Linked DNA regions of Alligator mississippiensis. The protein of the gene in region 2 purifies or fractionates together with the protein of the main gene of each other region. This does not show direct contact. Links are inferred from orthologs where the notes say so. Each region holds a gene or a part of one and is shown on either strand. Other genes may lie near its edges.

The links. The genes of interacting proteins can lie anywhere in the genome.
Region 1: the proteins of RBPJ (region 2) and FBXO42 purify together in Homo sapiens (affinity purification with mass spectrometry; 3 studies listed by BioGRID and IntAct, counting the BioPlex papers as one, with this or other methods). This does not show direct contact. The link is inferred for Alligator mississippiensis from reciprocal best matches to the Homo sapiens genes RBPJ and FBXO42.
Region 3: the proteins of RBPJ (region 2) and MAML1 purify together in Homo sapiens (co-immunoprecipitation; 12 studies listed by BioGRID and IntAct, counting the BioPlex papers as one, with this or other methods). This does not show direct contact. The link is inferred for Alligator mississippiensis from reciprocal best matches to the Homo sapiens genes RBPJ and MAML1.

Annotation. Positions count from the first base shown.
Region 1 is NC_081836.1:3,381,893-3,392,477, forward strand, and holds the start of FBXO42 (F-box only protein 42), read right to left. Parts: upstream 4,945-10,585; 5' UTR 4,851-4,944; intron 1-4,850. UniProt on the Homo sapiens protein: Substrate-recognition component of some SCF (SKP1-CUL1-F-box protein)-type E3 ubiquitin ligase complex. Specifically recognizes p53/TP53, promoting its ubiquitination and degradation.
Region 2 is NC_081825.1:39,902,141-39,912,587, forward strand, and holds the start of RBPJ (recombining binding protein suppressor of hairless), read left to right. Parts: upstream 1-6,086; 5' UTR 6,087-6,164; coding exon of another isoform or gene 6,165-6,184; intron 6,185-10,447. UniProt on the Homo sapiens protein: Transcriptional regulator that plays a central role in Notch signaling, a signaling pathway involved in cell-cell communication that regulates a broad spectrum of cell-fate determinations.
Region 3 is NC_081832.1:74,542,259-74,552,628, forward strand, and holds the start of MAML1 (mastermind-like protein 1), read left to right. Parts: upstream 1-5,426; 5' UTR 5,427-5,565; coding exon 5,566-5,910; intron 5,911-6,016; exon of another isoform or gene 6,017-6,031; coding exon of another isoform or gene 6,032-6,070; intron 6,071-6,288; exon of another isoform or gene 6,289-6,737; intron 6,738-10,237; exon of another isoform or gene 10,238-10,370. UniProt on the Homo sapiens protein: Acts as a transcriptional coactivator for NOTCH proteins. Has been shown to amplify NOTCH-induced transcription of HES1. Enhances phosphorylation and proteolytic turnover of the NOTCH intracellular domain in the nucleus through interaction with CDK8.

The DNA.
Region 1 (10,585 bases), on a different chromosome or scaffold from region 2:
CATCCCATCACACAAAGCAGTAAACCAGGAGATTCCTCCATAGTCAGAGGCTGTTCGGGGATTTCAAACGGGTAACAAAACAGTTCTTCCATGCTGGCCAGGCTGAATTCCAGTGCAGTAAAGATGCAAAAATTAACAGGTGCTCTGTACTGTCTCCAAGTTAGAAAGATTTGATAAGGAATCTTTACCTTTCACGCAAAAAACGTTATATTTATGAAGTGCCTTTTAACCTGACAAATCCTACATCCCTTTGCAAATTATATATGACCCTATACCCATCTGTGCCAGGAAAGGAAAGAGCTCTAACTCAGTAGAATTCTGCCTACGTAGGCATAATACACGGAGCAAAATTCAATTCTGCTAGGACAACAGGATTTGTGATAACTAGTGACAAGACCTTACTCTTACATCTCTTCCCATACTCGGCCATTTGAGCAACTCAGTAACTCTAACCAGCTCTGGCATGATTTTGCTACTGACTCAGCAAGAAGCACCTTTCGCTCCATGTCACCAAAAACCACTGAACTTTGCGCTGCCCTTCGAAGCATCCTATCACAGCACCGGCTAGCTTAACGCTACAAATCTTGTTAGATTCAGTGAGATCAGAGGCAGGAAGGAGTGCAGTTCCGAAACAACAACAAAAGCAAACAAACACCCAACACCAAAAAAATCCAACATGACGGTCTTATCAGCAAGGAAAGAAAAACTGAATTTGAGTAACATTAGGAATGGACTTGCCCACTTCACAAGATGAAATAAATCAGATTAATATTGTAAAATGAGTCCAAGGCATGCAAAGTGATATAAGCCATCTGCAGAAGAAATCACATTTGGACGAAGGAAGTGAGCCAGGAGAATAAGTCATGTTTTTATTTTAATTTACATATATTTCAGTAGAGTATTTAGCTACCATACAGGTGAGCAGATGTACCCAAGTTTTCCAGAATATTAAGAAAGAAGGCATACCACAAAGCATGACCAAGTGTGAATGAATTTAAGCTCCAAGATATACATTTGCAAGTGCCATCAGTGTATGCTTCTGTGGGCAGGGGCCAGATTTTCTCCACCTTGCAGAACAGTCAGTTTACTGTCCCTGGTATATCACTAAATTTTTTCCCACACCCACATACAACTTTTGCACACATAAAATTAAATATGCAAGGAAGAGGAATGAATTTTCTCTCTCTCTCTCTGATATACCATACAACTCCATTTAAAGTCAATATAGTACAGCTAAACCCAAACAGACATCACTGGAGGTCCTGAACCCAGATATCCAAGTTGAATCTAATCACACTGGAGAGAGAAATCACACTCCGAAAACAAATTTGTGTGTGCACAATCATCCATTAAGTGTACATTATCAGAGCCAGTGGGTTTCTGTTCCAAAAACCCTTTTATCTGGACTTGGACCAACTCTCAGAGCCAAAAGACAGCATTAGACCACAACTTTTTTTTAAAAAAACACTCACTGATCTCCGGTATGATATTGATATACTTTTTGGCTTTTAAAATGCAAAGTCACTGGTGCTTATCAACATCAAGGAACTGCTTGAACAAGACACTGATTTATATCTTAGGACATTTTTCTTGAAGCAAACACGAGGGGAGGGGGTGACTAACTTCACACCGGTTTGTTTACACGCACAGTGATAACCTTTTAAACAGTTCTCAGTCACACGCTGTGGAAAGCCCGCAAAAATTGGCAACTACTGAAAAAGATTACAGTGCAAGTTTACTGAGGCTGTGAAAACACCCATTTAAAACACAATTCATATGCTGGGAACGAGCTGATATGAGGCCTTTTCTCCCCCCTGCTGAAAGGGGACCTCAACCATGCAAATGACAATTCACATCCCTCTTTCCATTAAACATATGGAAAGAAATTATAAACTTAAATACAAAGCCAGACTGTTTTCAGAGACTAGTGCAAAGACTGCCAAATGAACCCTCCTCTTGGTAACAGAGAGGAATACGAGGCAGGGAGTAACAGGGAGGCTCCCCTGACAATACAAGGGGGTGAGAAGCAAAGTGCCCTCCCTGCAGAAGCCAGGACAGAGAGAGGATACTGTCACGTATTCAAAGCATGCAAAATCCACATGAAACCTGGTCTGTGTCAAGCGGAAAATCCGACTGGGCACAGATAAGGATCTACACCAGCAGATTCTGCAGAACCTAAGTTGCAGCTTTAAAATCAATTTTCTAGCTCCTAAGGTTGCCACGATAAGCTTTCATACACTCCCTACTGACAAAACACAGTCCTTTCGACTCATGCTTTGGCAACTTTTGTGTGTCCACCCATTTCCCCACTGTACCAAACAGTCAAGTGAAACAGATATTCAGACACGTCTCTGGTACTTTAGATCACTGTTTCTTGCAAAAAGTTGGGGGGGGGGGGTGTCTCGCAAGACTGTGCACTAGTGTTATTTTTGAGGGAGAATCAATGACGAAGACAGAAAGACAGCAATAGAAGAGAGGCCAGGGAAAAGACAGAACAGTGAAGAATGCCTCTGGCCACAGCCAGGGCCTGGGGTGGTGTAGTGACCCCCAAAGAAATGAGCCCCGAGGAAGAGGAAACAACACATTCTTTCCCATCACATGTCTCCCCTCAGTGCGTTGCTACGCTGGCAAGTGCTACTGCTGCAATTTCAGCTTATACTGGCAAAGCTGTGCTTTTCCCTGTACAGTTTATTCCAGCCCCACTTGCTCACACCCCTAAAATGAAACGTGCTATATTGGCAAGGTGGTTGTTCTGTGGGGGTGACTTCATCACAATAAGGGGCTTTTGCAAGCAAAGCTGCATCAGTCAAGGATCACACCTCACCACACCTCTGACCAACACAGCCAGGTAGGCAGAAATCCAGCATGTAGACAAGGCTCTATTATGTGCTAGCGAATGGCAAAGGATGGAGCTCCAGGGACAAAACCCTACTAAGAACCCCAATATCTGCCCTTGTCTGATGCAGGGATTTGGGGTAAGTCCAGAACTAGTGTTGCATTGCCCCTGAATCACAACAGTGAGTCTCCCCTACTAATTCAGCCAACATCAGGCTAGCCAGTTTGACGCTCCGACTAGGAGACATTAGGTAAAGCTTTCTCCAGCCTGATTACATCACTGCACTGTGATATTGCAGCAGCCATCTAGATGTGATCTCACAATGCACAGGGCACTGCATCATCACATGTCATCTCTCCAGGATCCCGATGCCGTTCAGTGACAGGGCAGCTCTTAAAAGATAAGCAATGCTCCTCTTAGATTTAGGATGCAGGTCAGCAGCATCTCCAGTGAAGTAACACACAGCTCCTTTATCAGAGCTGCCTGTTCCTTCTGCCCTAGCAAACAGCAGTTCATTGGTGAAAGCTCTACTACATAATGGCCGAGGCGTAAACAGGTGTCACTACAATAATTAAAATCATTTTAATGCAAATAACATCCCCATCAATCAATGGGGATTAAGCCAGCCTCGCAGCAGGAGTCTGATCATTGGGTTTGCTCACAAACAGAAAGCAGCTGCAGGTAATGCACCAGTACCATGCAGTCCAGCCACAAAATTTTAACAAGGCTTCCCATGACTTTTCCCCAACTCCTCCAAAACTGCAAATTACGGAGTTTAAGGCACGCAGCGGCGCACAGCTCCCCCCTCAGCCTCAGAAGCATTTTAAGAAAACAGCAACACCGAATCTTCAAGGATTGCTAATGAAGGCGTTTAGCCCAAAACACCTCGGTCTCGAGAGACTCGGGTGGCAGGCTGCTTACAAGGGGATCCTCACAAATCAGACCCCGGCGCTTTTTCCTGCCCAGAGCTGGGGGATCGAATAGGTCCCTTCCGACCCTAGAAACCTACGACCCACGCACTAAGACCACCCCGCGGCAGCAATGCTTTTCGGTTTAATGTGGACACTGCCAAAAAAACCAAAGCAAACCCATCAACTAGCCAGGAAAACATCAGAGGAGGCAGCCGGCACCAAGCCATGCCTATTAAACCCTCTCTTTCCAAAAAGAAGCCCATCGGGGGGTCAGATAGCCAGGAAAGTGGCAGAGGAGGTAGGCGGCATCAAGCCAGACCTCCCAAAACCTCTCATTTAAAACACAAAACAACAAAACGAACCCCATCGGAGGGTCAGACAGCCAGGAACATGCCCGAATTGTGCGTGTCAAGCCATACCTCCCCCAAAACCCCCCTTTCCAAAAAGGGGAATAGGACAGAGGAAGCAGACGGCATCCGAAATCACGGCAGGGGCGATGTTATCTTTCACGAGACCAAATGCCAGAGGCGGCAGAGCCCCTCTCCTCGCAAAGAGAGACCCGGCGGGCACGTCGGACGAGCACGAAAACGGAAGAGGAGGCCGGGGGAGCCTTTTTTTCCCCAAAAAAAGCCGGCTCGGCAGCACGTCCGGCAGCCAAGGAGACGGCAGGTGGGGACCGGAGTCTCCCCTTGGCAGAGAGGAGCCCGCCGGTGCCCCGGGGAAGACGGGGACGCACCTGGGGGTGGCAGCCAGCCTCCCAAAGCCTCTCCTTGCCCCCAAAAGCAGCCCACCCGCCAGCCAGGGGCATGGCAGAGGGGGCAGATGAAGGGTTGCTTTTTTTTTTTACCTCTCCTGGAAAAAAAGACAAGAAACCGGAGCGGGGAAGATGAGGAGAAGGCAGGCGGTGCTGAGCCAGGCCCCAAACCACCCCTCAGCCAGGCTGGGGGGGAGGTGGGTGGCATCCAGCCAGGCCTCCCCTTGCAGGCAGGGGCCCCGGGGACACAGGCCAGGAGGCAGCTAGCCGTGCCCCCACCCCGGGGCCCTACTCCCGGCCCGGTTCCCCAGGAGACGGAGCCGGGCCTGCCCCCCGCGCCGGGACTCACCTCCCCGCCCCGCGCTCAGCGCAGGCTGCCCCGGGCCGCCGCCATCTTGCCTCGGCGGCTCCGGCCGGAAGGAGGCGACGCACTGCGCAGGCGCCTGCCGGGGCTGGTCACATGACGCGGGGCGGGCGGAGTCACGTGAGGCCGAGTGCCATGTTGGGGAGGGCCGAGTTAGGCGGCCATGTTGAGAAGGTCCGTTGAGGCTAGAGAGGGCCTTCTGCCGCCACAATGGGCCATGTTGGGAAGGTCAGCTACGGCGAGCGAGTGGGGAGGGGCCGTTCTGGAGGGAAGGAGATGGAGGCCACCTGCCTCACCTTTGCAGAGGCTTGGCCTGGCCTGGCCTGGGGATGGATAGGAGCCCTGCCCGAGTCCCCTCCCTTCGAAACAAGGGAGCATCTCCACAGGACAGCGTTGATCCCCACCCTCTGCTAGGGGGCAAGCCAGTCTGTGTGTCCTCAGGGATTTCCCCCCTCAGAAACCCTCTGGATTTCTCCAGCCTGCAGGAAGCTGAGCCTTGGGAAGAGCCATCGCTTCTTTGGGAAGAAACCAACCCGGGACCCCCTCAGCCAGAGCCGGCCTTGGACTCTGAAGCCTGGACCCCTCCACGTCCTACTCGTGCGCTGATGTTGCACTGCTGCTCTGGAGTACGTGGAGCGCTTTCCGTATCTCGGTGATGAAGAAGTCCAGCACCGTGCCAGTGCCACCTTCTTCAACCTGCGACAATGTGTCTTTGGAAAGAGAGTCCTTCGGAAGTCGACGAAGGTCCTGGCGCACGCTTCGAAGCCCAATGACTCGATACTGAGGCGGAACGGCGGTGGCGGAGGAAGGAGAAGGAGACCACCCTGGGGCTGCGGATCCCGCTCCCACACGCAACAACATGCCCCCGTCGCCGAAGTATATGTGCATCCAGAATCGGTCCCCTCAGTCACCTGAGGACCCATCAAGCCTGACGGATGTCATCCTTGACTTCAAGGGACTGCCAACGAACGAACGCTTTTGGGCGATCTGACCCCAGCTGACTGCCTGCCCCTTTGGACAGGGGGCTGCACCCACCTATCTCATAAGGTCCCTTCCAGCCCTAACATCTATGTAGATGTGCCCTAACTTAGGCAAGGGGGGCCTCCCCTGGGCAGTTGCCTGGGTTGTTTGCCCCGGACCTGCTGATGCCAACCCAAATGGCTGTAGAGCTAGCAGCTAATCACCAGGGGAAAGCAGATTTGAATGGAAACATGGGTGTAACCTTCACTCCAGCCACCACTGCAATCCCGCCCAGATAGGAAGGAAGGGAAGATGTAGCGTGAGTCTTCTCCAGTGCTGTTTCTAATGTGAACATATTACTGGGGGGGCGGTGTTCATGTTTCCTTTGCTCCTCCTTTCTGTATTTAATCCTTATAATATGTTACTGGTAACATGATTGGTGTGTCTTATTTGTGGTGAGAAATGTTACGAAGTTTTCTTAACCTTCAGTTCACAACTCGTGTGAATTTCTGGTCCTTTAAAATGAGGAGGGTGGTTCGGTGCAGTCTGAACAGATCTTATCTGGGATGAACACAAGACTATCTGTATCCTGGACAAATCCTGTTTACTCCAAACTCTTCTGCAGGCTGGGAGAGTGGAAAATCCCCCAAACAGGAGAACGTAAGTGCTCATGCTGTTTTGAGTCTTGAGTCAAGCCAGAGGGTGGCAATGATGCCTCTCCTCCGAGATTGCTCAGGACATCAGTGTCCACACCAAGGCAGATCCCTGATCTGTCTGGAACCACCTCCATTTCCCATGGGTGCTGGCGCTTGGAGAACCCAGGTCGTCTGGTGCCCTACGTCACCAAGGCACACATCTGCAGACACAAGAGCCAGGATTTGCCTAAGGATATAAATACATCCCCCCCACCAAGCATGTATGAGTCTTAGGGTTGTTGGTTGTATGAGTTTTAGGGTAATGTTTTCCAAAATGCTTGAGTGACTTTGTTGCCAATGTTCCATTTTCAGAAGCATCTTGGTCAACGTGACATAGGTGTGTGAGTGCCTAAGTCACCTGGAAAATGGGACCTAGGTTCCCAGGTCACTTAGGTGGCTTTTGAGGTTTCCCTTAGTCATTAGAAGAGGTCCTGTGCCTGAAATATTTGGATAGTGAAGCTGCCCTCCTTCATCCTGGTTTAAGGGATCTGGGTGGAGGCAAAGGCAAAGTGAGGGGATCAAGACCCACATAGAATAGCATTGGTGGAAGCCCTTCGTGTCCTTAATCTGAGTTTCAGGGAGAAAATGCTGTGGGCTTAAGGCCTGTTTACGGTCCAGGCCACGCATTCTTTTCCTTCTCTAGAACAACAGTGGAAATGGGTAGAAGCAGCCTCAGGTTGCACCTGGAGCTGAGCTCCCTATGAATGAATGCTGTACCCTTTTCCTCTCCACCCTGCCAAGCTGCCTGGCGAGGTCAGTGTGGGCAATGGGCCCAGAACCAAATAGAGGAGGTCAGGTCACCCTGCCCTCTTCCCCTGCCTTCTGTCTTAGATGCCATAGTATCTGGCTGCCTCTTCCCTCCAATATCTGTGTGTACAGCTGAAGGCATTCACAGCTATTTTGAACCCTGCTGAGATTTGCAGGAAGCTCCTCTTTGATGGATGGCATCACTGGATCCTGATGAAAAGAGATGCAGGTAGCTTTGCTCCGCAGTCTCCTTCCCCTCCCGGTAGCTAGATGGCTTCATTGGTCCCTCATCCCAGAGGAGCACAAGAATAGCACCGAGAGTACTAGGCATGTCTGAGAGCCCAGAGGACGGGGACCAGAGCAGACCTAGTAGCGCAGCAGCAGGTATCAGCAAGGGAGTTGATTGGAGATGCATTTTGTGGAGACGGCTGAGCATTCAGCTGCTTCTTAAAGGTGGAGTTTGTAGAGACCTGCCATCTGCTGGCAAATCATACTAATCGCATTCAGCATCCTCTGATGGTGGGGAAATAAGGGCTTTGAAGTGGAGGGAGGAGACTGTTTTTATGCTGCCTGGTTACGTTCCCATTGCTGTCTGAATGTTTGCTTTCTCACACTGCTAGGAGAAATGGATTTCTGGACACTTTTAAACTCTTAAGCAAATGAATACATCCAGTTAAAATGAATCCAAAGAGTTGATCTGAAGTCGCAAGTCATAGTCACAAATACAGGTGATATAGCATGTGGGTTTTCCTTTTGAGAAGCCATGAGTGACATTCATCAATACCGTAAGTTGGCTGATTAAAAGGTCAAGACAATTTTAGCCTCATCGTACCTGAATTGCAAGCCCTCGCTGGAAAGTCTTGTCTGATAAGAGCAACATCAAATAGAGACCTAGGAGGGCCTTTGAGTTATGTTATGCCCCCTAGGCAGGCAGCACAGAAGCTATACCAGGTTTTGGAGCTTAAAGGGCCTGATCCTGTGAGGAACCGAGTAATCGAGTCCATGTGCACTTCACTGGGACTAGAAGACATTTAACATTGTGCAAAATCAGACCCCCCACTCCCTGCCCTCTACCCAGGGCTGTGTTCCCAGCACTGGTCTACAAATGTGATTGCTAGCCCTCTCTGGTTGTGTTCATTTAAACTCTTCCAAGAGACTGTTCAAAATCTTACAACCACCTTAGCATTGTCAGAGGGAAGTAGAGTAAATATAAGCTCCCTTGGCTTTATCTGTCTGGAAAACAGAAGCAGTAAGGGCTTGTAGCGTTTAACACTTCTCATGATCCTCTATAGCTGGTAGCCCAAGGCTAAAGAGTGCAGTCTAAAGCCCATTTAAGTCAATAGGTGTATCTCAGCTGATACCAGTGGAATCTGAATCAGGCCCTTCAGAAAGAAAGCAGTGTGCCTGGGGGATATTGATTGGGTTGATATCATCTTTGGTTAATGATTTTCTAGGCTCGGGGTGAGGAGCTGTTGCTGACTCAATCTTTGTGGTACGATTATTTTATTGATGGCAAAGGACAGAGATGCTAGGACAGGTTTTTGATGCCGTCAAGCTAGACAAATAACCAAAAAGGATTATCAGTAACAAAAATCATGTGTAGTAAAAAATTAAGCTTGTGGCAAAAGCCTGAATCCTGGATTCTTCCCACATCATTAAGTATTGTTTTGTGGGGATCACTCACCCCAAAATGTACCCACAAGGCAAGGCAGCATCCTGCTGCATCTGCTAAAAGGATGTCATGCACAGCTGTCTGCCGCTGCATGAATGTGGCCATGCTGGTTCTAGATCAAGAGGGTGCCAAAAGCTACCTCCTGAATAGGGAGTAGTGTAGCCACACGGTAAAGCACCCGGGCTAGTTGGATCCAGGAGTGGTGCAGACTGCTTCAGTTCTGTCAACCAGCCAAAACTATCCTTCCATTGATGGAGTAGCACTGCTGACCACTGCATACTCCCTGGATGTAGGACCTTATCCTGCCCTAGCACTGCAGTGCTTTTGTCCTAGAGCGCAAAGCAAGCAAATTAGGAAAGCAGACTGAAATTGGGCCTAGACACTGGTTTCACTTCAGCCCATACAGACTGGTCTTAACTGTGGCAGCCCCTAGTAGTCAGTGTGACTTGCCTGAAAGAGAAACAGCACCTCTTTTGGAATAGGCTGGGGCAGGCATTTGGTCATGGCAAGCTCACTGAACAGCACCTGCCATCTACCGAACTGCCAGCCCCATTATGCCAGGCTTGCGTGCTCCGCAGGTGTCCCTGATCTGAGTACTGACCTAGCCCAGTTCTGCACAGGTTATAAGAAATGATGGAGGCTGACAGCACAAAATGCATAACTACAAGCAAGCCAAATGCTTCCAATTCCCTAGCGTAAGTGACACCTATGAGGGACAGTCAGGCAAACACAATGTTTACAATAAGTTGCTATGCTCTCAAGAAAGCGGCTTCTGCCGAAAGCATGATTCAGTGAAGAGCAATTTATTGGCTGAGGTGAGTATCCAGGGAGTTTGGGAGAAGAGCTATTTATACAGACTTTACAATGCACTCTGAGTCAGTCTGTGTTGTTTCTCCTTCATTCTTATAGTGAGCAGGATCTCTAGTCTGGATTTCAAGGCTCTGGTGCTACTGTTCATTGTCAATGACATGGATTTGTAGCCCTTGCATCACTTAGAGCTTAAGCTTGAAAAAGAAAGGAAGGAGCTTATAATACAGAGAAAATTACAGCATAGGTCTGCTGCCTGTTGAAATATGGGTGGTTTTGTGTGCCTCTCTTAAATTGAGCTTCCCCTGTGTCCAGCCGGACAGGCGGCATCTGCACAGGATGGCAGCACTCCGTCCCCGCCTGCCTGTACCCCCTAGGGCCTTCTCAGGTACCCCCGGAGGTACACCTGTTGACAACCCCTGGCCTAGAATATAAACACATTGGCCCTACATGAAGCTTCAGCTGCTCCAAAGGCCCTTCTCAGCATTTTCATGCGTATTCCTGGGGTTTGGGTGCCTAGACCTGACCTGGCAATGTGTGTCCTTACAGATTCTCGTTGGCTGTAACCAGAGCAGCAACATGTGCGTCTCCAGCTGAAACCCCTCATGGAAATGCATGTGTTTGCAATAGATCCTGAGCGTCCGTAGCTGACACCGGCTACTTGCAACCAGCCTGCCGACTGACCTCGAGAGCCTTTCCAGCCTTACCTCTCTACGATGTGTGATCTAGGAAAAAAATACTAGAAAAAAACTTTCTCAGGAGGAGGATGGCGAGGCAGTAGAACAGGCTGCCCAGAGAGGTGGTGCAGTCTCCATCCTTGGAGGTTTTAAAGATCCAGG
Region 2 (10,447 bases):
GCCAAATGTCACCTTCAAAGCTATGGTATTTGAAGATTTCAGAGTGTATATTCCACAACTGATTAATGAACTCTGTCAAACCTTCAGGTATTAAATGGGCAACAGCATCAGTCACAAAAGAGTGAATGGGATGGGTAGAAAGACTGAGAGGACATACAGGAGCCCTGGAGGATTTTGAGAGAGGTACTTTCAGGTTTGCCTGAATAGAAAGGGCCCATTGTCAGAGGGATTCATGGAAATAGCATTACTAACCTCTTTAAAAAGAAAAACCCAGTAGGAGGGGCATGGGATAAGCTAGATAAGCTATGTAGGGGAGGGGAAAAACCTGACTTAATATAAAATCGAGATCAAGGTTACTCCTTCCAGGTGGGCAGGGAGGAAGGACAAAATGTTATATATTAGAAGGCCTTGGGGATTGACAGGAATTAAAATATATATTTTTAATTAAATAATTCAGAATTATCTAGCTATGCATACCATTAAAATACACAACCACATGATATTAATACTGTTAACCTCATCTTCCCTTCCCCCTCTTCCTTCCTATTGTCTGTTATACTTGTATCTTACATCTTGTCTTTGTGGGTGGGAACTACCCACTCTTATACTGGGTATCACAATGAGCCCTAAAGCTGACTACAACTTTTGGAAACTACCATAATGATAAAACAATATAGTGATAAGATAAAACCTGCTAGTGTTGAGATTTATATAATGAATTATTTATTTTCTTGGTGGTATTAGGCTATTTGAGAATATGGCACTCAAAAACCCTGCTGGGGTCTGGGGTCAGAGGGGTTAAACTTCCCTTCCCCTGAGTATGGAGCTGCCTTGCCTGTTTACTTAGTGCTGGTTGCAGCTGTGGACTACAAATCCCAGAGGTGCTTGGAAGCAGGAAGAAGAAGTGATGAGAAACCCTACAGAGTCCTGCTGCTTTGAGTCTGGACTGCAAATCCCAGAGACCTAAGGGGCAGCAGGAAAAGGAAGTGAACACACAGCCCATGCTGGCTATGTACCAGAGAGCTGTGCTCTAGCACTCTCCAGCTTCTGGGTTGAGCTGCTGCAGGCATATGGCTGCATTTTCTGATTCAAAAGTGAACGTTCATTTGCTTATTGGTTCAATCTTTGCAGTTTAGACTAACTTGCAAAGACTGAATCAATTCAGCTTTGGGCTTTTTGACTGTCTGTACTTAGCCCAAAAAGGGGTGGGCAAACTAGATTACATGTATTGAAGTTTATTTAGAGTTCCATTGTTGCAAGTAACTAGCTTATTTATTTATTTATTTCTAACTGGAGACATCCATAAAATGTAAGATTTTTCAGAAATCAGTTCCCTTTAGAATGCCCCAATATCACTAGACAGATTTAAAAATGTAGGCTAGATTTAGAACTTTTCCATTGTTACAGCATGGCTGTAATGGGCCTTAACTCACTTGGCACAGGAGGTTGAAAACATTGACTTACATAACAAATAAATCCATATAATTATTGTCTAAACCTTGTATTTAAAATTCGTCATTACTCAAATCTGGCATTGTCCACTACCAACGATCAGAATTTAGACCTCAATCCAAGGAGGTGCTGAAGTTAAGTCAGTAAAAAGTGAGTATTTTGTGCTTTATTGAGGTTGGGCCCTTTAGCAAAAGAAGTCATACATATAAACAGTGATAATTACAAAAAATTGTCTGAGCTTTTGCCATAATTTTTCCCCTAGAAAGTACCAATTTTAGACCAACTCTGATTTTGACAGTATTCCTGACTTAGTTCAAGAGCCTGACCTTCAGTATGACTGACCTTTTGTACTGCTACATAAGGTTTATGATTTTAAAAATGTTTCAGTAGTGTCTTTTTGTTAAGTACACCTGAATCAGTGATAGAAAGCACTGTTATGTAGTCTTAAACTACTGTGCTATTTATTAATTATTGAAAACAAAGTGCCTTCTCTGAGATCCAATTAATTTTTTTATTAATCAAAATGTCTTATTTGTAAAATATTAAAAGAAGTCTAGACACTAAATATTATTGTGCACTATATTTTTACATTTTCCAGTTTAATTTAAAACACACAAAAGAGGGGCCCCATAAAATGACCATCTAGAGACAGTTGATGGCAAGAATCCAGAAACGATTCTTAATGGGACGGAACTAGCATGAGATGAGATCATTCTTCAATTTGGAGGGGAAAAAAAGATGTTTTCAAGAAGAAATTTTTCAAAAGGATTACAAATTGTTGTTTCACAAACAATACAGAGGATCTGCGGTATACACTGTGTTTCAGATGAAGAGTGTGCCGATAAAGGAACCAATCAAAATCCTTTTATGATTAATGAGGAGAGGGAACTCATGATAGGAAAAGAGTCTCCTGAATTATAACTGAGTTGTTTGCTGTAGTTCCAAAGCATGAGTTCACTACAGTTTGTCTGGCAAGATTTTCTTCCTTGCATTAAGTTAGCATTAGCAGTGGAGAGTAAGTATAAAAACAGAGCAAAAACTGAGTCATGGACATGATGGAAAATTCAATCTTTTATAAGTATGGGAGCCAGCAGATTTAGTAAAAATTAAGTAACTCTCAAAATCTCCTTCTCAAATTGGGATTTTAATTAATGTTAGATTTGAGTTTGAACCTAGATTGATGAAGAAGACAAGCTGAATGGGAGCTACTACTGAGCTTTAAGCACCGTAATCTTAGTCTTTTTAAACACAGGTATCTAATAGACAACCGCCCTTTAACTCGAAAGGTCAACTTTGTATTTTGTTATGCGAATTACTTTTTCAGGTCTAAGATACCTGTTCTGAACCCCAAAGGAAAGTTGTCTCTCTTTCTCTTAATGTCAAAATGATAGTCTATATCCAAATATTTTAAGATCTTGGATACTGATACCTCTTCTCATGCATTCTCATCCAACCTCTAACCTTTCCAGATTGTCCAAAAAGTAACTCTTAAGATCATTTAATTGAGTGAAGCAAGGTCTTACATTCAACTTGTTGGCATTTATCTATCTTGTTACACAATGACTTCTGAACACTCCATCTCATTAAGTCCACAATTTGAGAAAATGTTCTAGTTCAAAGACATTGATTTCTATGTACATCAAAAAAACCAAAAAATCTTTAAAATCTTGAATGTGGGATGTATGCGACAGTAAGCTGGGGTGGGCAAAGTATGGCCCACAGGAGGGTGCCCAGATTGGATCCAGCCTGCGGCCGCTTCCACAGTACTCCACATGGGGCTGAGCCCTGCCAGGGGGCAGCCACCACTGGACTCCCACCTGTTCTTGCTGCGCCTGGCCAGAACTTGCAGCTTTCCGGCAGGTGGTGCTTGGCTCCCGCCAGCTCCAGTAGCTTTTCATCTTCCTGCCCCTGTTGCGCTGCTCCAGGTGAGTGGGAAGCTGCACCCAGGTGGCTCCTGCCCTAGCTGTAGCTCCAGGCTGCCTTCCACCCACTCTGCCTGCCTACCTACCTCTACCTGCATGATGAGCAGTCACCTGCAGGCAGCTGAGTGAGTGGAAGACATCTGGGAAGAGCTGGAGCCACCTGGTTGCAGTTTCCCTCCTGTCCAGAGTGGCGCTGCATGAGCAGGAAGAGGAGCAGCTGCTGGAGGTGTGGCGGTAGCTAAACACCACTCACCAGCAAGCTGTGCATGCTGGCTGGTACCCGGGCTGCAGTTAGCAGGTATGGGCTGCCCTGGGTGGGAGCGGGCGGGGGCTCGGACCTATGCAGTGTTGTGGGGGCAGCTGCAGGCCATACTGTCTGGGAAAGCTTTGCTTCATGCTGCCCTGTCCCATCCCTCTTTTCCCAGGCCAGCTCCTGGAATCTAGCACTCAGGCAGCCTCCCCTCTCCCCCACAATATGCCCACCCCACACCCTCCACTCACACCCCCTCCATCCCTGCCAATATACTAGAGTAAGACTTTATTTTGAGTTATGCAATCACCTCTATATACACTACTCAAAAAAACCAAGTCAGGACAAAAATTGTTGTTTTTTTTTAAAATAAAAATAGAATGTTACAGTAATGTTTGATTTTTTTTTTTTAGTGTATGATTTTATCTACAATTTGTTAAAATGATACCTTCTACAAATTTTGTGTGTGCGGCCCTCAACAGCTCACCAAAACTCATTTAAGTGGCCCTCCAGTTGAAATAATTGCCCACCCTGCACTAAGCACTAACATCCTTAACAGAGCCTGCAGCTTCAAACACATCTATAGATCATAGGTAAAAGATTTGGTTGAAAAGCAGTCGTAACAGGATGGATTGTTTCAAATCATGGTTTTTATCATGATTTGAATCAAAAACATGATAATTTCAGTCCTCTTTGCATTTGTACTCCTTAATTTCCTGAGGAAAGGTTAATTCTTGTTGATTTTTGTCCTGATATAGCTTTTACACTAAATTATGTCTGTATTTTTGCTAACCAAAAGGATCTATTATCTTTACACATAAGCAATTATATAGTTTAGTAGCTACTAATATTCATTTGGTTCATTATTTTAGGTTAGGAAACAATAAAGAGTGTAGGAGTTTAGGTTGTAGCCGTGTTGGTCGAAGGACATAGGCAGACAAGGTTCCTTGGGTGAATTTGATATCTTTTATTATACCAACCCAAATAGTTGGAGAATAGTTATTAAGCTGCTGAAACTTCCTTAGCCTGACGAAGTGTTTTTGAACCCGAAAGCTTGCTTAATAACTATTCTCCAACTATTTGGGTTGGTCTAATAAAAGATACCAAATTCACCCAAGGAATAAAGAGTGTAGGTCTTTTTAAATCCTGAATGTTTACAACTTGCAATTTGGATGGAATTGGGAATAAAATGCAGAGGAATAGCATTTTACTACTGTTTTTATTGGTTAAATAAATACACTTGAAGTGTGACAGACACAGAAGAAAAAAAGTTGCATATATTCACAGACATTAGGGCTGGAAGGGACCTTGGAAGATCATTGAGTCCAGCCCCCTCATTGAGTCCAGACATTTTAAACTAAATTTTAAGTTGACTTATGAAACAAACTAAGCATTCTATGTAGCTAGTGAACTGAATTATGTTGGGTCGACACGTGCGTCAAGATTTTGGAAGTAGATTTTAACCTCTTGTGTTTCCTAAGTATTGACTGATAGATCGGAAAAAGAAAATAAGCCTCTCGGCAACGACGAGCTGAAATGTTTCTCAACTATGAACAAAACTGAACAAAAGGAAGAGGATTCTTCTTTCTCCACCTACAACAGAGGGCCCAGATGTCTAAAGCTGCTTTTCCACTTTGCTTGAAAACTGGGTCCTGAGGCTTTGCTTGCGACTTCATCCCCGCTCAGTGGCTTGACAGACTTTAAAACTCGGTCGCAAAAACACAGCTTGAACGGTGGGTTTTTGAATCACGTTAAACGACAGGAAGGGGCAGCATCCAGAGGAGGCCTTCACAGAGGCTGTCCTAAGACCAGTTTTACTTTTAAATCACTTTTTGGGGGGTTTCTTTTTTAGCCCAGCGGTCTTCCATTTTATCACGGCCTCATTTTCCACCTGCCCCTCCTTCCCCCACGGCCACAGCCGGAAACCCGCTCATCTCGGTCCCGGGGGCCACGTGCCCGTAGCAGTTGCTGTCCATTCGAGGGCAAACCCCTTGGCCTGCAGGTGCTGGCAGCTGAGTTCTCCCTGCTGGTTGCCCTCGCCCTCTGCGCTGCGGGCGGGTACGCCTGCCCCAAGCCTGGCGGGTGGGGCGCCGGGTGAGACCCGGCCCCACGCGCCCACCACAGGAAACTACGGCCCGGCCCCACCCCACGCCGCCCACTTTGTGCTCCGAGGCGCGTCCCCCCGGCGAATGGGCGCGTCCCCCGTGCTCTGCGCAGACCCCTCCCGCCCGGGATGGTTTCTCCCGCCCCCAAGGCGCAGGAAGTTTCCGAGCCTAGACTCCGCCGCCGACAGGGAATCCCCCTCGCGCTCCTCTCGCGAGACGCACCATCTCCTCTTCCCTTCGGCGCCGGCATTCTCGCGAGACTCGGGCAGGTTCCCACGCCTGCTGCTGTTGTGTCTGACTGACACTGGGAGAGCCCGGCGCGCGGGGGGTGGTGCGCGCTCCGCGTGTGCGCTCTATGGGCCCACGCACGCGCGCTCTCCGGCAGGGCCGCCGCGCTCTCGCGAGACTAGGAGTTTTGGCGAGAGTTTGTGGAAGATGGCGCCTGTTGTGACAGGGTAAGTGCGGAGGCTTCGCCGCACCGCGCCGCCCGAGGCCCCCGCCCGTGCCCGCCGGGGCTCCACCGCCTGCCCCGCCCTCGCTCCCCGTTCCGCCCCGCTCCTCCCGGGCGGCTGGGCCCCTTCGGCCGCTTCCCCGGCGGGACGCCCCGGGCCGCGGCCCCGGGGGCCGAGAACCCCCCGGGCGGACGCCCCGGCCGAGGCGCCCCCTGCCCGAGGCCGCGCCCGCTCGCCCGGGAGCGCTCGGCCTGCGCCCGCCCCGTGCTGCTGGGGCAGCTCCGTGCCGGGACAGTGCCTGGCTCCATGCTGCCCTGAGGGCGCTTCTCTCTGGCTGCCGGCAGAGTCCCCCCCAAAGGCTCCCGGGCAATGTCCCGGGAGAAGTTGAGTCCCCCACGCACCGCAGCGTGGCTACGCGAGCGGCGTGGGGCTCGGCAGGGAGGGCACTGCTCCCTGGCGCGGGAAGCGAGATGTTCCTCTTCCCCTGCACCCCCGGGGCCCGGCTGCGGCTGCTGTCAGGGCCGCGCTGCAGCTCCCGCCCGCGCAGCACCCCTCGGCTCTCCCGCACGGTGTCCTTCCAGATGCCCCCTGCGGGCCAGGGAGAATGAGAGAGCGCGAGCCCCAACGTGCCGTGTCACCTGCTGTGTTACTGCTGAGTGTGGGCATCTTCTTGGTATCCCAAATTATCCTGAACCCTGCTTGCAGCCTGTTCCTAATCTTTAGTCTCGCTGGGTAGTTCCCCCCCCCCCCCCGGCCTGGTCCCTAAGGGGATTGGGGCTGCTAGGGCAGCAGTAGGCCTTGCCTCCTCCCCACCTGCTTGATTGAAACAAAATCCTGGTGGCTGAAAATAATTCTAGGCGTGGGGGGGAGGAGGGGGGTGTTTTTTGCACGTTTGGCTAAATATCCTGCCTTCACATCGCATCTGTGATTTTTTCTCCCCGTGGGATTACGTAGTCTCTAGGCTTGGCTCTGTGGTTATAGCACAGAGCCAAGCCTATTTGGGGGTGGGGTGGAGTTGGTGGTGGTTGCTTTTGTTCTTATGGAGGTGGCGGCATTATGGTATTTTCTTGTTTTGTTTTGGCCTTAGCACTTGTTAGTTTCTTGTTTCATGGTTGTCAAAAGCAAGCGTTAAACTGTTGCCTGATTTTATTCGAGTTCAAAAGGCACTTGCTGCTGTTGCTTATTTTGGCTGCTTAAACCTTCTTTAAAACAGCAAGTCTTGTGTGTTGCAATCTGTGGAGTACACTATTTAGAGTTCTAGAGTTGGGGGAGTAAGACATAATGGTGTTTCTAAAAGTTTGCCTTACATGGGTTGCATGTTAATTTTATTCCAGTTTCTGGTCACTTAATTGCCTCTGTGCTTGAGTTTTATTCGTTTTGCTTATTGATTGGGACAGAAATGTTCTCCGTGACATCCCATCTGTTTTTTCCAGGAGATGCATTTTAATTTTTGACTAATTAATGAACTTACGAATGAGAGAAACACACTAACAACAAAGGAATAGAAAATATGTTGTGTTTTAATGTAAGGGTGGAAGTTTCTCTGTGTTTCAATTCTAACAATACAACTATTGTTTAGCATTTTCAAATTGGTTAAATCCTGTAAAAAGAGAGGGAGGAGTCATAATTCTAACCTCAGATCTTGAATTAGTTAATCACCTAAAACATAGAGAACCTTGAAAAGATGTGCTAAAATGTATTAACGGGTATGGTTTTTATTTTATTCAGTGGTTTTGGGGGTTTTTTTGTGTTTTTAGTGTACTTAGGTTTTGGATTAGCAATGTGATACCCTGTTTTCTTTTAGTAACTGGCATTTTTCACAGTAGTAAAACCTCTCTTCATTCTAGTGTAGTTAATTTTCACTCACGATCTTAGAAAACAGGGTAGAAAACAGTTTAGAATTAAAAATAAAATAAATCTGTTAATGTAGTAACCAAGGGTTGCATGCTGTTTTTGTTGCTTGCATGCACTTTCTAGCAATCATGAAATTTCTAGATGAAGCGTATAAGTGATGCTTTGTAATTGCTGGGAGGTGAATGTTGGAATATTATCTTTTCATGAAAACTAGTTGTTAAAACTAAATTGCAGTACATAAGCCTGATAAACCTATTGTCTTGTTCCAGTAATCTGAAAGGACTAGTAACAGTAATACCTGGCTATAGAAGTTGTATTTCTGGCACTGTGACCTTCACCCAGTTTGCTGATGGAATATTCTTTTATCATAGGCTTACCTGTGTTGAAAAATGCATAGGTATACAGCTTTTATATAAGGCCCATGAGAGATTTAGATTTATTATGTATGATCCCAGCAGTCTTTCCTGCCCAAGTGCAGGGGGACTGGACCCAGTGATCTATAAGGTTCCTTCCAGCCCCTAACAACTCTGGAATTATGAACCCTTAAATCACCTTGTTATGGATCAGGACTCCATTGTACTCAGAACTGTGCAAACAGAACTATGTGAAGGTCCCTGCCCCAAAGAGCATGTTGTCTAAATATACGACAAGAAACCAAAAATTAATGTAGTCATATGGGGGGGGAGGGGGATATGGGGAGCTGGTGAGATGGCATTGGACAGAATGATAGGCAGCCTGTTGCTTATAGACAGTAAGGAAAAGGAGGGTTTTGGGGGAGCCTGATCAGGTTTGTAAATTTTGTGTGTAGCTGTTGGCGGCAGCATGGGAGAAATACAAAGGTACCTTTTTAAAATTTTAACAAGTGGGTAAAGAAGACTGGTATAATCAGCTGACTGGAGGTGAGGTTCTGTGTTTTAACAGTGAATGAAGGATAGTAAGGTGAAGATAGATTGTGAAGGGCCTCAAAATGCCCAGTGTTTGTTATGCAGTAGAAATAAGGAAGGTAGCTGGTATGTGATACAAATAGAGATGACAAAGTAGTGGCACAGGGAAATTACTTTTGCTTCAGCTTTCAGAATAAATATGTGCAGGCTTGCATTTGTCAAGACCAGTGTAAAGGATTTTGGAATAATTGTGATGCAAGAGAGCCTAGCTGTGTGATGCATACAAAAGCCAAGTTTTAAAAAGGAAGGCAGAAAGAATCATCAGGATCTGGACAGATAAAGGAGTCTCTATAGCAGAATCTAGGTAAGTCTGAACTGAGATTTGATTAGTGGTGGTGGTCAAGTGGAGAAAGGAAGAAACAGCTGGAGCTTCTGGTTGAAGATTAAGTGCTCTGCTTTGGCTATGTTGAGATTCAGCTGATGGCTCTTTTCCATAAAACTAGGTTGAGGTTTGAGTTTGGATAGGAGGCAGGTGTAGGCAGGGCAAGGTCTAAGTTTTCAGCCTAGATATTTTAGTTGAATTGTTTATACAGATTAAATTTCCCACAAATAAGGTGTAGAGGGAGAAGACAGTGGGATCAAGGGCAGAAAGTTGGAGGAGAGGCAGGAAGCCATGAAAAGACAGACTGAAGAATTGGATTGAGGATTAGGACCTGAAATAGATGGAATCACATAAGCCAAAAAGGATGGGAGTGGGAAGGACAGGATTTCCAGAGGAATATAACTGATTCTGTTTAAAGATAATTAGCTGGTCAAGCAGAATGAGTATAGAGTACTAATTCTGTACTTTGGCTATAGTCTTTGGTGAGTGGATTGTGGTGCTCAACAGGAGGAAGAAGAAATGAGGACATAGGGATGTTGTTGAAGGAGAGGAACTCTGGGGAGTAATTTCCTTATTAGCATAGTTTAAACATTATGGTTATTGCTACTTGAGTAATAGTATAACTATGAATATTATTGTACATGTGCACATAATGAGTTTTTCTAAACTCAAAGACAAATGAGCAAATGCTTTTGGCTCATGCAGCTTTAACTTCCAAGTCATTAGCATGGTGATTCTTAATGAGGGTGATGTGAGATTCTTTGGCTGTCATGGGGTGTGAAGACATAAGCAGATAAGTAAAGGCTCAAGGTGCAGTTACTGGGCAGCCAGTGGTCCTGGGCCAGAAGCCCTGGCTGGGGGGTCGGGGCCGGGGGGGCCCTGCTGTTGTGGGAGCCCACTGGGCTTCCCCTGGGTCCTTTTGCCCTTGGTTCCTAGGAACCAAGGGCAAATGAATATTAATTTTCTAAACTTTTAGGGGCCCCACAGGCTGGATAGAATGGCCTTGCCACCCCTGATTTAGATATTCTAAAGTGTGCTTAATATAAACATCATAAATAATGTGGTCTGTCCAACTGTTACATCGTTCTTGGTTATCATAGAATTTACGAATTTTCTTCACTAGGTGTAAAACCCGAAATCATTTTG
Region 3 (10,370 bases), on a different chromosome or scaffold from region 2:
GTGGTTAGTGTGGCTGTATAGCTTTCTTACCCTCATAAAGATACTGTGGTGAGAGGGAGGTTAAATCTATGTACATATGTAACCAACCAAACTGTGTTTATACTCCAGCTTTTTGGGGGGTTGAGGGGGGGGGGAAAAAAGCATAATTGTCCCACAAAATAAAGATGCTCCCTATGGCTGCTGTCTGTTTAGCTGTTCATAGTCGGCCTAGAAGGTGAGGGTGGGTCCCTTAATATGGTACTTTATCCTGCAGGCCTCACAGAGGCTGGATGTCTGGTTTCTTTAGTCCTTGCGGGGTTTCTTTCTCAATAGGGCTGTTCTTTTTACTACGTTTCCTTCCTTCTGTCCAGCCTCTCACCCCAGCTTTCTCTGCTACTGTGCAGCTTGGCTTCCATTGCTGAACAGTAATTCATGCTCAGCTCCTCAAACTTTTTCTTTTTAAGCTAGGCTCACTCCTTTCCAGGATCCAAACGCTGGATAGGACAGTGTCCCTAATCGTTATTGTTGTCACTGTGTAAACTCCTGCGGACAGGAAGGTGGCCGCAGAAGGCAGGTTGGACTAAAGTCTTTTATTAAAAGCAAGAATTACAGTATTTTGTAGATGGAAGAAGGAGCATGTGGAATGACTGGTGTGTGTAGCTGTTTAAGTCTCTTATCTGCTCTTCATGTAACAGTTGCATCCTAAATTATATTGTGAATGTAGGGCGTTCCAATTCCAGCTAAATAAATTTTTTAAACGCGTTGTGTCTATTATACTATATATTTCTATTTGTTTCCTGTGGAATACATGGGAGCAGAGCATACCTCCTAAGACCAATACCTTTTTATTACTCTTTACCAAAATATACTGGGAAGATGGAAGGTTAGATGTCTTACTGAGACTTTGCTTCTGCCTTTTGGTTAGAATAGTTAAGTGTCCTAACTCCTATTCTATTCTCCTTGCTTTGAATATAAACACTCCAATGTTTCCATTGGGTGGGAGGGTAACTGGGTGTGTTGTAGAGAAGAATTAATGATGAGGAAAACATCTTTGTAGTAAAGATTAATGCAGAATAACTTGCATTTAAAAAGAAAAGCTTTTGCTGCCTGTATTCTGTGGCTGTTGAGCTGAAATATCAGTGACATGAATGCATGTCAGGGTTTCTTGAAGTGTCTGCAATGTACAAATAAAACACTGTAACCAAGATGCTGAAATCCAAATTTTATTTCCAGTCTGGGACCATTGGCTTGTAGAATCCATATTTCTCCCCAATACCTGGTTATATGTTGCTTTTACCTCCAAAATGGCTTGCTTATACCTCAGCACTGGAGTATGTTATGATTTAAGTGTTGCTGTTGTTTTGTTCTCAAGATAGTAGCTTATTTTTATAAAGTTGGTTAATGACTTTCTATTCCTACCCAAATGGGCTGGCCAGCTTTTATAGATGGCCGTAGGTTAGCTGCTTTCTTGAGCACAGCACGGGTCTTTCTTTTTTTCTAAATGATTTGATCTATATGCATATTGCCTTAACTTCATTACCTTTTTCACTTTCTGTACACACAATTCCAAAATACTCTTAACACAATTCTCATGTGCTGCTTAAAACAGCAGCTATGAAATAATACTGCATTTAAAGCTGATTCTAAAATGTTTTGCTTCAACTAGATCTCCTGAAATAAGTCTTGTCTGCATGTCTTGGCTTTCTTTTGATACTGTAATATGACACTTGAATAGTCACTACAATAAATGGTGACTTCACAATGCATTTAGAAAAACTTAAGTTTGAAAGATGACTTTGTCCTGGGTTTTAATTCTAGGTTACAGTTTAACAGGTTGTCACGTTTAACTGTCAGTTTTGAGTAAGGAAGAAGACATCCATATATAGTAAGGGTAGCCATGTTCCCTAAATACTGCAAGTCCGGTTATGATGTAAAGCAAAAGTTGGTCTGCATATAAGACTGAATTCAGTCTTAATTCTGTTGGACAGCGTTCTGTTAGCAAAATATTGACAGTGGATGTTGGTGTCTGTTTTTACTTGGCATTTTTTTTGCCTTCTAGAATAAGTATGGGGGTGCTGTAAACTAGCTCTTACAGAATTATGATCAGTAAAAGAGGTGATAGAAATATAGCAAACTTACTAACCTGGTAAGAAATATGTAAATTGGTCTTTCAGACTAGTTATGTTAATTCACTGGATAACCAAATAGAAAGTGCATTGTTAATGTCTAAATTTTTGGATTTCTGGGTTGGAGGGGGATGTTCTTACGGAAGTATTCACTACTGGTAAAGGTATTCTGTCTCCTCTACGTATTGCTCCACTTAATCTGTGGCAGCAAACTTGGTGCTAGTGACCAGTTTCTCCTCACCCCTCTGCCTTCCTCTAATACGTTGTTTCTAAATGCCAGTATTGCCTCGATGGTTTTCAGAAGCAAAATCCTCAAGTGTTACTAAAAAAGAACTGTGACTTCTCACAGAAAAGACCTTGTCTATTCATTTAAAAAAGTTAATTGTAGATGCAGTATGCATATATAAATATTGGATAAATTATAATGTAAGTTTACTCTGATTAATAAAGAAACTTAAATCTATTCAGATTTGCTTTGTCTACCTGGCTACTAAAACATCTAAAAGCTTTTTTGTCTTTTACCTCTCAGCATGAAGGTGGTGAAAGTGGTAGCACTCAAGTGGAATGCACTGTAGGTTCAGTCTGTGGCTTCTTTCTTTTCTTTTTTTAAGAGGGGTTTCTAGAAGAAGGCAGCAATTAAGGAGAAAAAACTTTTTGTTAAACTTTAAGTAGATTTTTTTTGTGCCCTCACCTACCACAAAAGTAACGCTTGATTTAAGGTAAAAGTTCACAAACCTTCATGTTTCACTTAATTTTAAAGTATGAGCACTCCATGGCATCTGTCTGCTGCTTTCACAGCTAAAAAACTGTGAATGCTAAATAATGTATCTGTTAAATTGACACTTTGAGCTACAAAGACTAATACTTTTTCCTTTAAGAGGAGAGAAACCTAAAGTCCTTTCAGTGTGTATTTTTAAAATTAGCTGATGCCAACACCAAAGAGCAGAGGAAGTCAAGGGAAAGTTATTTTTAAAAATAGGGTTTTTAGAGAGATCAAGTATTGGTGGTAGGCCCCTTCCAGGTGTTGACTTGTGGCTCAGCTCCCCAAGTAGATGAACGCTGGCTTTCATAGCCACTCTGCAGTCTCACTTATGCTAATTTGTAGTGGGGTATGGACTGGATATGAAACCCTTGATCTGGAGAGTAAGGTTGTTCTACTGTCTCCACTTACATGGTTCTAACCTACATGGTAGCTCTTGCTCATGATTTGGTGGTAAACTTAGGTCCCTGTTGCACATTTACATGTATTATGCAATTAACTGGTCAATTTTGCAACTAATTTAAACTAGCTGCAGGTATAAAGTAATTATCGCATGATAAAATGACTAGCTATAAAGTTTAGTGCTTGAAAAATGTAACAACTCTCTAGCTGGTTTCTATCCAGCTTTTATTTTGAAGGTATAGCAGGGCCCTTGGTTAATATGAATGCAGCAATGTTGTATTTGACAAACTGCTTTAATCTAGGAATGTTCTGAGGAAGAGCTGGGTGAAGAGAGCAGGTGGTGAGAGACTTGGACTTAGTCCTGATTTTTCCCTTCGGGTGGGTTTGCAATATGCCCTATTGTAGCTCAGACTTCCATACCATTCTTTTAGTTCTGCTGTCAGGTTGACAATGACTTAAATGGGTTTGAACTAATGAAAAGTTACAGAAACTTGGCCACTTTATAGTGTTTCATATTTTATAACTGGACTTTTTTTTTCTCACTTGCTCAACTGTGCTGATGCACAGTCTTTGGGCGGTCTGTCCCGAAGGGGTCGGAGAGGTCTAAGAATAGTCATTGCTGCTGTACTTGGAACCCAACATTTTACTTCCCTGTGAGCTGAGTCAGCAAGAGCTGCTGGCTGGTCACACCCTTCTTAACAGATGGGTGAGCAGCAGCTGTGGTGGTGGGAGTTGATCAAACGACTGGAATTTTTGTCCTCCTTTTTGGTGGCTCTTAAAACAAAATTAAAAATTGCAGTATGAACCCTAAATCAGTATAAAAGTTCTGGTAACTGGGTGCTTAATGCATACTTGATATGCAGCTCAGTTTATTTAAGCATTCCTGACTCAGCTTTTTTTTTTTTTTTAGCTCTGTTGGCTGCTACTCCTGCCACTTTGCACAAAACAGGCTCTAAAAGAGGGAATCTGTGGAGTTTGCTTGTACTTTAGTCTGTACCATGGCTCCTTTTCAAAGCCAGGTAACTTTCCCATTTATACTTTCCCAAAGAATGGTACAAAGTCACTTTTTCTTAGCAGACCTGACGACTATTCCAAAACTGCTCGACTGAAGTACTTGTGACCTGTGCCAAGAACGCTTGACGGTAAATACCCATATAAAAAGCTACCACTAGGGCACAGCAAAGGATGCACGAACCTGCCAACTGCTCTCGTGCCTCCTGGGCGTTGCGTTAAAATGGGTGTGAGCGCAATGACTCGATGCAGGAAGCGCTTGAGTCTAGATCTCTCCCAGGGCCTGCGTTCTCCCATGTCACAGTCACTCCTGGCTCATCCAGGAGGTGTAGGCCTAGCCCTTGAAGGAAGATGCAGTTCTTCTTTCTTGCCTCTGTAAAATGAGCAGCTTCCCAGTTTAAAGCTAAAAACAAGCTTTAGTTCAGTACTCCCCTTGCCTGGGCCTGGGGCAGGGGGGTGGATTGCTTCAATCTTTCCCTGACTGGAAAAGGAGGATGAATGCTTTCAGGACCCCTAGTAAAGAGATCATCTTTTATTAGACCAACACTCTGCAAATAAACCCCCAAAATCTTTAATTGCAAGGATCATGGCTTTGCTTTTATTAGAGCAAGATTTTGCAAAAAAAACAACCCCCCCCAAATTTTAATTACAAGGAACAAGGCTCGTGTTCTTTTCTGGGGGGAGGGGGAAGCCTTGATCCTTGCAATTAAAATGTATGTTTGTTTGCTTGCTAAATTTTGCTCTAATAAAAGTCAACCCTAACCTTTAACTGTAAGGAATGCTTTGCTTTCCTTTGTGTTAGGGTTTCTTATTATTTTCCTCCCCAGGGACGCGGCTCGCACTCGTTACAGACTTCATTTACAGCCAGGCTCCACTTCTGCTCCCCTCTCCCCGTGCACCCTAGCTGTCAATCACCCCTCACCTCGCCACGCCGGCCTCCGCATTGGCCGCTCGCGCTCCGCCCCGCCCCTTCCTCCACTATGCCTTTTAAACGGTCTCCGGCGACCCTCCTGGCGGAAGCGACGCCCCTTTTTCCGCTCCGTCGCCCTCTCATTGGCTCCGCCCGCTGCCCATCCGTCGCTGTGACGCGCACCTCCCCCCCACCCAGGAAGCCCCGCCCCCACCGCCTGAACTCGGCTCTTGAGGGGAAAAACAATTTCAAGATGGCGGCGGCGCGGACAACAATGGGGCGCTGGGGGGCCCGCGCCTGAGGCCGGCGGGGGAGGAGGCGGCGCGGCGGCCCGGCCATGGCGGGCTCGGGGTGAGGAGCCGGCGGGCGCGCGGCCCATGGTGCTGCCCCCCTGCCCCATGGCGGAGTTCGTGGTGCCGCGGCACAGCGCCGTGATGGAGCGGCTGCGCCGGCGCATCGAGCTGTGCCGGCGGCACCACAGCGCCTGCGAGTCGCGCTACCAGGCCGTGTCCCCCGAGCGCCTGGAGCTGGAGCGCCAGCAGACCTTCGCCCTGCACCAGCGCTGCCTGCAAGCCAAGGCCAAGCGCGCCGGCAAGCACCGCCAGCCGCCGCCGCCGCCACCGCCGCCTCCCCCGGCCGCCGAGCGGCCCGGCGCCAACGGCCTGGACAGCGACGCGGCCAGCGGCGAGCAGCAGCACGGCCGCAGCACCACCTTGATCGCGGTACGCGCGGGGCGGGGCGGGGCCGGGCCGCAGGGGAGGAGGAGAGCGAGGGCAGGCCAGGCCAGGCCAGGCCGTGCCGTGCCGTGCCCAGCTGGCAGCCGCTCCGCTTCCCCGGGCACCCATGGACGGAGCGCGGGGAGGGCTGCCGCCGCCTCGCCAGGTACCGCCGCCTCGCCCTTTGTCCCGGGAGCCTTGTCAGCCTGGCCGGGAAGGGCTGCCCGCCACCCCGCTCGCGAGCCGGGCGTGCGGGCGGCTCCGCAGACGGGCTGAACTCCCTTTCTTCGGGCGACTTGGGGTCCGGCTCCTCGGTTGCTGGGAGGAGGAGGAGGATCAGCACCATGAGGGCATGAAGCAGGCGCCCAGGTTTTACCTCGCGGCTGCAAGGAATCGGTTTATTAGCTCTTTGTCCAAAAAAAGAAAAAAAAAATTAATCGCAAGCTTTCGGGAAGCAAGGGAACGTATTTCTGTGAAACGCCGCTCTCACGATGGGGTCGTCAGTAAAAGTGCACTTGCTGGCTTCCTGGCGGCAGTCAGGTTTGAGTAAGGAATGCGACATACGTTTGTACCTGTTTAAGTTGCAGGCATCTTGAAACCATATCCTCTTGGTCCTGCCTCGATTGGCGTCATACCTCAGCGCGGTAGTCACGGTCGGGTTTGTTTTTTTTTGAAGTGGCCTTTTGGTTCGCAGGTGAATTCTTTGCAAGTAGAGTCTAATACGATTGAAATATCGATATGATGCTCAGCGCTTAAAATAACCCTTAGACCTTTTATGCAGCCTATAGTGAAGTTGCGAAGGGGAGCGCAGCGCCTGCTCTGGACGTGTGGATCTGGAGCAAAGAAAAAAAGAAAGGCATGATTCTCATTTTTATAGTTTGTTTAATAATTTATACCGATGTAAAAGGGATGTGAAATGCCACCAAATCTGAAGTTTCCACTTGCAACCAATAAGTGTTTTATGCATGCTTTGAGGTTGCAATGTGAACAGCAGTGCATTGTTTTTCTTTGTAGGTATTTGAACTTACCTCCAATAAAAAGCTTTGGGTGGTTGTATGCATGTTGCTTCTGAAGGATAAAACGCTTGTGATGATATGAAATCTAGTTCGGTGTCAAAAGGGAAACTCCTTGAAGAGAGGGGAAGGTACAGCTTGTATTGTTCCCCTCTCAAGTTTTTCAGGTTAGCTTCAGTTAGGCTGAATATACAGGCCTGAAATACAGATTTTTGGCTGAACACACAAGACCTGCACTTCTTTTGTACTGTTCGAGAAATGATAAGGCTTATGCTTGCTTGCGACTAGGCTATAAAGGATTCTCGTGTGGCTCATTGAGTTCATTAGGTAACAGATGGAGTACCTGTTTTTAAACACATTTGAATCCACTGGCTTAGACTTTATAGGGAAGTGTGTGCTGAAAAGTCTCTGAAAGAAGTTGCTTCTAATTCATTGCTGGCACTTCTTTTCAGTTGTTGTGGATGTGGATTTGATCTCATTAGCTTGCATTATAATGAGGACTCTAAATTTCCCCCACAATCATTGTGTGGTTTTGAAGTTCGCTGCACATCTGGGGAAACCCTTCTTGTACAGGAAGCTGCTGCTAGCAGCCAATTTACACAACAGAGGAGGGTTTTAGTGTATGAATGACTCTTCCGCGTGCAGGCCTGTTGTTTCCTTCCTAGGATACATGACTGTAAGTTGAATTGCTGCTGATTCATCATCTTGTTACTTGGTTGTAAAAGTTAAGTCGCATGGCAAACAACTTAAAATAAGGAATATGTAAGGTACCCAAAGGACCTTGTCTGCTCTGATGTGTTACGAGGATTCAGTTTTTTGGGTGTTTTTAAGTTCTTTAGAATATACTTTAATAGTGAGCTTTGTATTTCACCACAAACAGTTAAATTACAATTATCAAGACAGCACATCCCATGGCAATTTATTTTATGGAACACTCACTAAATCTTTTGGTTCATAACATTTTGTTTTAAAATACTCAGAGCGTGTGTACTTTAAAATAGTGCTGTTGGAGCAATTAATAGAGCAATAAAACAGCCAGCACTGTTTATGCTGAGTTTATGCAGAGCTTCATTGGTACAAGCTCCATGGAAACACCTTACAGAAAGTACCTCCTCTTTTTGTGTCTTATTATGTGGGGTTTTTTAATTATTATTATTGATTCCCTCAAAGGACAAAAGTCAGAGTCAAGTGCTTTATCTATTAGTCATTTATCTGCTCTAGATCCTGAAATTGCAGCAGACGTGGAGCACAAATATGAGCATGGGTCACCTTCATCCATTGTCTGCTTGCCAGCTAAGGAGAGCTAGTGCACAGATCAGGAGGAATATATAGTTACAAAAGAAATATACTTCTGGATGGTGTGTGCCACTTTTCCTGTATTTGGAAGAAAACAGTTGAATCGCTATTTCCCCTTTTCCTTAACTTGCAACTATTTTTAAAAATTTAAAAGTTTCCTTTAAATTGATTGTTCATATTTTAATTCCAGACTTAACTCTTTCCCACTTTATGAAGGAAGTTAAAGAGAGGAGATTGTCACCAGGGTCAGAAAGATGCTTAGAGAAATAGCAAGTAGAAAAAGAAAGGCTTAAAACACACCTCTTCCTCCTGTTCCAACTGCTGGTCCAGGGCTCCTGTTTTTACTTTTTCCAGTGCTTTGTTTAAATACCCAAGTAGCAGGGTTTTCTTCTGTTTTCTAGGGTAGACTATCCCATAGCATTTTTCTTTCACTATTGGTATTTTTCTGGCACAGCTGAGAGTGAAATTTACAGGGTTTTGTATTTATGTGCGTTTATAATGTATATAATTTCAAAACAATGCAAAAATGTATGTGTCCTGACTTTAAGATCTAGAACAACGACAGAAAGCAAATGACACCTTTCAGGATTGGATTAGCAAGATTTATTATTCAAGAAACAAAGCTTTACCTGGTAGCATGTCAGTTTGACTTACCTAAAACCTTTTTTCTGTTAGCTGCGGAAGCCAATCCACATTTCTGATCTCCAGGTATCTATTTCCTGACATGAAAGACAATAACTATATGAAGATTTTTTTTGTAGTAAGTCTACTGTAACAGTGCAATGTAGTCTTGCCATCCTTGTTCATTTTTGTTGAACATTAGCTTGTTGCCCAACAACTCAGATGGGTTTCCTTTTTGTCTCCTTTTTTGGTCCAAGGTATTTCTGCATTCTTGAAGCCTTTCCCTTTATTGGATTGGTAAGACCTGTAGTGGTGTTTCCTAAATTCGAAAGAACTGGGAGTGATCATCAGTGCTGCTATGTAGTTCAGCTGAGGTGGAGGAGCCAGCATTACTGCTTAAGAAGCACACTTTTTTGATTCAGCAGAAGCAGTCTCTCCTGACCAGTGCCAGCAGTGATATTTATAGATACACAGATCTGGAGCCCTTTTTCACTCTACAACTTGTTGCCTCCCAACTACTGAACAGAAGTTTCCTGGAATTAAAGTAAACATCCAATTGAAAATAGATGAGTGCATTTAATTCAGACAGCTGTGCACAGAGCTTCAAATGTGAAAATGCATTTAGTAACAAGATGCTGCCCTTGCAGGGTGAATATTATGAAAGCTGTTTGTATTTTAGCACTCAGAGTAGGAAATAGGGTGTTATCTGTTCAAAAAGTGATTTTTCTTGAGTGTTTGTACCCTCTGACACTTGCATCTCTCTTCCAGCTCAGAAAGATCTTCTTGGGCAGTTTAGCCCTGGGCGAGTCAGTGGTTCTTAGCACAATGGAGCTGTGGCCTCAGCAGGCGCTTCTAGGTACTACTAGAATAGTACTGCTACTCATGAGAATATTCATCTTAAAAAGGTGGTTCTAACATTTGTTTCCTGCCAAGAGGTGAACACAGATTTCTTTGACTGTGGAGCAGATGTTATTAACTTCTCTACTGTTGGGGAAATTATGTTGTATGTCATTATATCTTCATACTTACAGCAAGCTATTTTCCATATTACTTTTTTTTTTTTTTTTTTTTTTTTTTTTACATTTGATATTTCACAACAGGTGCTTGGAACGTAACTTAATTCCATAGCTGAAACAATAAACATGTAGTTTGTACAGAAAAAGTTAAAGGGATACTATTAACAATTAATTAAAAACAAGGTTAAGCACAGCTGAAATATTGCATCTTGGACTTTTTTTTTTTTAAAGGGGCTTTTTCTCTCTCTTTTAAAAGTTGTTTTTTTGTAGGGGGGTTTAGCAAGGATGAAACTGACTACAGGTGTGTTAACCCCCCCCCCCCCCAAAAAAAAAAAAAAAAAACAACTAAAAACCCCACAGATAGCAGAAAAATAAATCCTTACCCACCTCAGAAAGGTGGTGAGCCATGTCAGTTTGAAGTCAGGCAAGCAGAAGTTAGGGTAGTGTAACACCTTAGAAACCAACTAGTTCAGAGAGGCATGAGCTTTTATAGGCAACAGCCTATTTTGCCAGATGCTAT